2 linked regions of the Saccharomyces cerevisiae S288C genome follow. The protein of the gene in region 1 interacts with the protein of each later gene in a biochemical or structural test. Each region holds a gene or a part of one and is shown in the gene's direction. Other genes may lie near its edges.

Region 1 (3,924 bases):
TAGAAGCGGAGCATTTGTTGAAGAGGAAACCGGATGGCATTTTGCCCAATGGTTTGAACGTTGTTAAGTTTCAAGCAGTACATGAATTTCAAAATCTGCATGCCCTGAAAAAGGACAAAATTAATGATTTCGTCAGAGGCCATTTCCATGGTTGTTTTGATTTCGATCTAGACAACACAGTTTATTTCTTTATCGCTGGTAGATATGAATACAAAAACAAAGGTGCTGACATGTTCATTGAATCATTGGCTCGTCTCAATTACAGATTGAAGGTTTCTGGATCCAAGAAGACGGTGGTAGCGTTTTTGATCATGCCTGCCAAAACCAATTCCTTCACTGTGGAGGCACTGAAAAGCCAAGCCATTGTAAAATCTTTGGAAAATACTGTTAATGAGGTCACCGCATCCATTGGGAAGAGAATTTTCGAGCATACGATGAGATACCCTCATAATGGCCTAGAATCAGAGTTGCCCACTAATTTAGATGAGCTGTTGAAGAGTTCTGAAAAGGTTTTGCTGAAGAAAAGGGTATTGGCGCTGAGAAGACCTTACGGGGAATTGCCTCCGGTAGTCACACATAACATGTGCGATGATGCTAACGATCCAATTTTAAACCAAATTAGACATGTTAGATTATTCAATGATTCGAGTGATCGTGTAAAAGTGATTTTCCATCCTGAATTCTTAAACGCCAATAACCCTATCCTTGGTTTGGATTATGACGAGTTTGTTCGCGGCTGTCACTTGGGTGTTTTTCCATCCTATTACGAACCATGGGGGTACACGCCAGCAGAATGTACCGTCATGGGTGTCCCATCTATCACAACAAACGTTTCTGGGTTCGGTGCCTACATGGAAGACTTGATTGAAACAGACCAAGCGAAAGACTATGGTATTTATATTGTAGACCGTCGTTTCAAGAGCCCTGATGAATCTGTCGAGCAATTAGCAGACTACATGGAAGAGTTTGTAAACAAGACCAGAAGACAAAGAATCAACCAAAGAAACAGAACCGAAAGACTATCAGACTTGTTAGATTGGAAGAGAATGGGGTTGGAATACGTTAAGGCTAGACAGTTGGGTCTTCGTAGGGCCTATCCAGAGCAGTTCAAGCAACTGGTGGGTGAAACAATTAGTGACGCCAATATGAATACTCTTGCCGGTGGCAAGAAATTCAAGATTGCCAGGCCTTTGAGTGTACCCGGATCCCCCAAAGTAAGGTCCAATAGTACTGTTTACATGACTCCGGGCGATTTAGGTACCCTTCAAGATGCTAATAATGCAGATGACTATTTTAATTTGAGCACGAATGGAGCCATCGACAATGACGATGATGACAACGATACGTCTGCATACTACGAGGATAATTAAAACCATCTTAACTTCTGCTAACATATCTTACTCTTTTAGCTGAGCATCAAATTAATTTTAGTATTGCACGTTCTGTTATTCTTGTATAAGTACATAGAAATAATAGCAGTAGAAAAAATAGAAGTAATTTTACCTTTACAGTACATATGTGTTAGTATAAGGAACCTTTTACGTGGGATACTTTGCTTACGAAGAAAAGGCTGAAAAAAAAAAAAAAAGAAACTCCCCCCGCGTTTAGAATGGTGCAGCCGAGCTACCTACGCAGGGGATAAAAAGAACGAAAGCCACATCGACTACAAGCCAGAGTATAAATGGTTTCAATTCTCGTAGAGAACTCACAATTATATAATATTGGAAGACACCAGAAAAAATAACGAGTCAATTACTATGGACGACAAAGTTTCAGAAAAGGAGAGCTCCCCAAAACAAACAGAGGAGGATTCTGAAGGTAAAATGGCACATGTGCAGCCTGCTTCGTACGTGAATAAAAAAAAATATGTTTTTGGGAAGACATTAGGTGCTGGTACATTTGGTGTGGTGAGACAAGCCAAAAACACTGAAACAGGGGAGGACGTGGCCGTTAAAATCCTGATCAAGAAAGCACTAAAGGGAAACAAGGTTCAGCTAGAGGCTTTATACGACGAGTTAGACATTTTACAAAGACTGCATCATCCAAATATAGTGGCATTTAAGGATTGGTTTGAATCAAAAGACAAGTTCTACATTATCACGCAATTAGCCAAAGGGGGTGAATTGTTCGATAGGATTTTGAAGAAGGGTAAGTTCACTGAGGAAGATGCAGTGAGAATTTTGGTTGAAATATTGAGCGCAGTCAAATATATGCATTCTCAGAATATTGTTCATAGGGACTTGAAACCGGAAAATTTACTGTATATAGATAAAAGTGACGAATCTCCACTGGTAGTTGCTGATTTTGGTATCGCAAAGAGATTGAAAAGTGATGAGGAACTCCTCTATAAGCCGGCAGGCTCACTGGGTTACGTGGCTCCAGAGGTACTTACTCAGGACGGTCATGGTAAACCTTGCGACATTTGGTCGATAGGTGTCATTACGTATACTTTGCTTTGCGGTTATTCGGCGTTTAGAGCCGAAAGGGTTCAAGATTTCCTTGACGAATGCACAACTGGTGAGTATCCAGTGAAGTTTCATAGGCCTTATTGGGATTCCGTTTCCAATAAAGCAAAACAATTCATCTTGAAGGCTCTTAATTTGGATCCTTCAAAGAGACCGACCGCCGCAGAACTCTTGGAAGATCCATGGATTATTTGTACCGAATTGAAGACGCACAATTTATTGCCTGGGTTAAAGGAAGGATTGGATGCTCGTCAAAAGTTCCGTAATTCTGTTGAGAGAGTCAGATTAAACATGAAGATCCAGAAATTAAGAGATCTGTATCTTGAACAGACAGAGAGTGATTCAGATTTTGACGAAGGAAGTCAAGCAAACGGTTCAGTTCCTCCATTGAAAGCAACGGATACCAGTCAACTATCCAAGAAGCTATCAGAAGAAGAACAGTCTAAGTTGAAGTCCGAGTTAACCAGCAAAGCTTTTGCACAATTAGTTAACACAGTGCTTGCCGAAAAGGAAAAATTTTTAAATATTAACAGAGTCTGTAGTTCTGATAGCGATCTTCCTGGGAGTGATATAAAGTCTTTGGATGAGGCGAAGGAGAAACCAGAGGGGAAGGATACCAAAACAGAAGAATGATAACAGTATGCCGTTTTACCACACTGGCGAATAAATCTTCAATGACTTTGTAAGCTCGAATATGCGCAAGATTTGACTTTGATATTTTGCACTTTTTCGTCCTCACTTTCTACCTTTTTTTTTTATGCCTTAGTTGAAAAGATACGCGTATCTAATTATGTACTAATAGTCTTAATTTTACATTACTTAATTAATCGAAATGCAGCCTGTAAGGAGTTTCACAATCTTCACGTTCGTTGAAAGCTAGTTGTCTAAGTGCGCTGCCTTTTAACTCTACCATCATCAAAAGAAGAATCATTGTCGTTGTCATCATAAATATCAGCTTCGTCGTCTTCTTCATCATCGACATATTCCTCGCTATCATATTCCGTATTATAGTTTACAGTCTGTCGCTGTATCCTTCTCAACTGTCTCTTGCCTGGCTTCATGTCTGCAAATTGCACTTTCATTTGTTCAAACTGACGAAGAATGAAATAGTAATCAGATAAAAATTCCTTTAATATCTGTAACTTCTTTCTCGCAGTGTTATATTTTGCGTCTTTTGGTAGCGGGTTTGTATTTATGGAGGGATTATTATCAGTGGTAGATTTCTGCTCCAATATGTGCGCTTCATTATTCAGTGCTTCTTTTTCTTTTTCATTTCCCTCCTTTTTCTCATCTTGAGGTTTAACAATTTTATAGTCCAAGAACTCCAAGAACTCCAGCAGTGTTGCTGAATCGTGGCATAATTCATACCAATAAACCTTCCCCGATGTATTTCTGCCTCGTGCAACATCATGCGCCAACGATGGTGTGTCATGGTAAAACAATTTGAATTGGGCACTCA
Region 2 (3,459 bases), on another chromosome or scaffold:
TATAAAGGTAAAACTCATAATAAGATATTTGGGGTACCATTAGAAGACGTTTGTGAAAGAGAGAATACCTTGATACCTACAATTGTTGTGAAATTGCTGGAAGAGATTGAGCTGCGTGGGCTAGATGAAGTGGGATTGTACAGAATTCCTGGTTCCATCGGCAGTATAAATGCACTAAAGAACGCATTTGACGAAGAAGGTGCAACAGATAATTCCTTTACATTAGAGGACGATAGATGGTTTGAAGTGAATGCGATCGCAGGCTGTTTTAAGATGTATTTAAGAGAGTTACCAGATTCTTTATTTTCTCATGCTATGGTGAACGACTTTACCGATTTGGCGATTAAGTATAAAGCACATGCAATGGTAAATGAAGAATACAAGAGAATGATGAATGAGTTACTCCAAAAGTTACCTACATGCTATTACCAAACTTTGAAAAGAATTGTATTTCATTTGAATAAAGTACATCAGCATGTTGTAAATAATAAAATGGACGCATCAAACTTGGCTATTGTATTTTCCATGAGTTTTATAAACCAAGAAGACTTAGCCAACAGCATGGGGTCCAGATTAGGTGCAGTTCAGACAATCCTGCAAGATTTTATTAAGAATCCAAATGATTATTTCAAGCAATAAACAATTTTCGTGGTAAATGTATACAATCCACTGCTGAGAGAGAAAAAATTTGGTCCCGCCTATCGAGGGTTTGAGTTTTATATTTTTATATTTACAGAGAGATATAGAGCCTTTATTCATTTTTTGTTATTAATGAAGTTTGATTTGTGAACAATTTTGATTTTGGAATTCTGCCTCTTCTCCTTGAAGCTTTCTTGTAACTTCTTCTCATTATCTTGCATCAATTGCCTTCTTTCCGCCTGATCTCTTGCCTTTTGAATGTTATGTTTTAATGATTGGAAGATGCCCATGTTCTCTGTGGGGGAAGCGCCAGCGATAGGAGTCCTTGGTTTAGCTACTTCTGTTATCTTCAGTTTCGAACGAACCCATTTGTTTCTCAAAATCATTGTCTGTAGGACGGAGAAGGCACCATTAAAGGCAAAGTAGAGGACCACAGCGGACGATAAGTTCATTGTGGCCGGTATAGAAATGATCGGTAGAATAGTGAAAAGACGCTTCATGGGAGAACTGAATTGTTGAGCACCAGTCTCACCCCCCAGCCTTGTAAATGAGATGAACACAGCGGCAGTGATTACTTGCAAACCTAAGTAAGGGTCTGCTTGAGTCAAGTCTGTAAACCAAGCGACACCTTGATTAGCGAACCCATCTACTGGGTAGTTAGCCATGTGTCTCAATGCGTTGAAAAACCCAAGGGCGATTGGAATTTGTAGCATGGGTGCGGCCAGCCATCTGTTCTTAATGCCGTGCGAGGAGAGCAGTTTTTTCCTTTGCATGGCGACTAGCTGACCTTGTTGCAAATCTGTAGTGGACATTAGCTTATTATTCAAGGCGTCCAGCTCGGGCTTGATATGGGAATTTCTAGCAACAGTATCAGAGGACTTGACATAGAGGGGAAACATCAGGCATCGAATGAGGATGGTGGTGGCCGCGATAGTTCCCCACCAAGGCAACCCAGAGTAAACATGAACGGCCTCCAAGACGTGTTGGATAATGTCCGAGGGCCAGTACCAGGTTTGGGCCAGGCCAATGCTATTTAAGTACCCTATATGGGAGGACAACTCGCCCACTGTTTGGGTCGTGTTAGCGATAAGGTCCGAAGTAGAAGCGGAAAGAGAAGGAGCTGAAGAGGTTAATTCATCGATGGAAGGCAACTGGGTTTGGATTTCCGAGACATCGTTGGCATTTGGGCCCGTCGAATTAAATCTTTTGGCCTGAAAAGAGATCCATGACGGATGGGGCCGGGGCAATACTATGGTTCGAGCGGTGGCCAGTCTGGAAGAGGCAGCAAACCTTGACGTGACGAGTCGAGAGGTGAGTTTGAACATCGTCGGGGAGGTTATTCTGTGGCTCCGCTTGTACGTGAACAGATACGTATAGAGGGCGAGCCACTGGTTAAATTTTTCATGGCTCGGATTACTTCCGTACTGCTGGCTAAAATCGAAATCTCGGCCTGCTGAGAGTGTTTTGAGCAATCAAGGGAACATCTGAACGTGGAAGAGCAGACGAGGCATTAGCTCGAACATAAGAACGGAACACGTCATGTTGACTATCACGAAAAGACTGGTGACCACCGATGTGCGGTCGCGAATACTGTTAAGCAGTTTAAACGGGAAAATGTCCGATGCACTGGCGCTGCTGCGTCAGCAGCAGCAGACCAGCGTGGATGTGGAGCTGCTGCACACGATGCTAGCGCGAGCCGCTGCGCTTGCCCATGCCGACACTATAGCATACATGTGGTATCAGCATGTGATGCCACGCCGGTTGCCAGTAGAGGGCCGCCTGCTATGTGAAATGGCTGGCGTAGCATTGTACCAGGACAGGCTCTTCTTACCCGCGCAGTTCCTCCAGCACTACCAGGCGATGAATCGCGATCGTCGCACCAGCCCAGAAGATGAACTGATTGAGTATGAGCTTAGACGGATTAAAGTCGAAGCGTTTGCGCGTGGCACAATGCACTCCACGGCGCTCAGGGAAAAGTGGAAGGTATTCTTGCAGGAGATGGATACGCTACCAGGGCAGCCGCCATTAAGGCTGCGCGACTTCCCGCAAATGACCAAGGCTATGGGCATAGCATTGATGCAGCAAGATGAGCAAGCAGCTGCCCTGGCGTTGTTTGGACGACAGCCCCTAGTGATAAAGAACGAATGGTCACTACCGCTACTACTGGCTGGTGTCCTTTGGCATGTTCCCGGCCCAGCGCAGGCGCGACGTGTGCTGGCGGAGTTCCGTCAAAGTTATCGCGGGCTGCCGCTGCTGGATGCCGAACTAGTGATAAAGAGAAGAGGATTTGAAATCAACACATAAATCTGGGTGGAGCATCGCTGTAACAAGGAACAACGCGTGCTAGCAAGCGGTAATGAAATACAAGGAAATCAATTTCTTCAAGGGCCATCCGAGCTCGAGGTTGCTGCCTCGAGAAGCAGTAATTCAAGCGACTGCGGCTATATTGGGGCCCGAGACCAGGGAGTACGATAACGACCCCTATAACAGGCATCCGCTGACGTACGGTTCGGACGAAGGTGCCCTGTGGGTGCGAGAGCAGATTTGTACGTTTCTGAATGATCAGCTGTTTAAGTTCGAAAATGGGGCTCGGAGCAGGACACGGGCAGACTATTTGAATCTGAATAGCGGCGCTTCGTATGGCATGCTGAACATCCTTCTGCAAACAACCTTGCCACATAACGGGTATACCAGGCAGGCGTTCATCATCACGCCAACATATTTCTTGATCAACAATTGCTTCACAGATGCGGGATTCAAGGGGAAAATGACCGCCATCAACGAGCAGGGCCACGACTCGATTGATTTCGAGTCGTTGAT

What was found.
Region 2: the proteins of CMK1 (region 1) and PET122 form a complex in vitro, tested with the Saccharomyces cerevisiae proteins (2 studies listed by BioGRID, with this or other methods).

The regions. Positions count from the first base shown.
Region 1 is NC_001138.5:171,711-175,634, reverse strand, and holds CMK1 (calmodulin-dependent protein kinase CMK1), read left to right. Parts: upstream 1-1,757; coding exon 1,758-3,098; downstream 3,099-3,924. Other genes in the region: glycogen (starch) synthase GSY1, read left to right, coding at 1-1,370; IOC3 (Ioc3p), read right to left, coding at 3,350-3,924.
Region 2 is NC_001137.3:473,525-476,983, reverse strand, and holds PET122 (Pet122p), read left to right. Parts: upstream 1-2,178; coding exon 2,179-2,943; downstream 2,944-3,459. Other genes in the region: GTPase-activating protein BEM2, read left to right, coding at 1-639; membrane insertase OXA1, read right to left, coding at 756-1,964; YER152C (2-aminoadipate transaminase), read left to right, coding at 2,996-3,459. UniProt on the Saccharomyces cerevisiae protein: Required for expression of the mitochondrial gene for cytochrome c oxidase subunit 3 (COX3). PET122 seems to work by directly interacting with the small ribosomal subunit to promote translation initiation on the COX3 mRNA.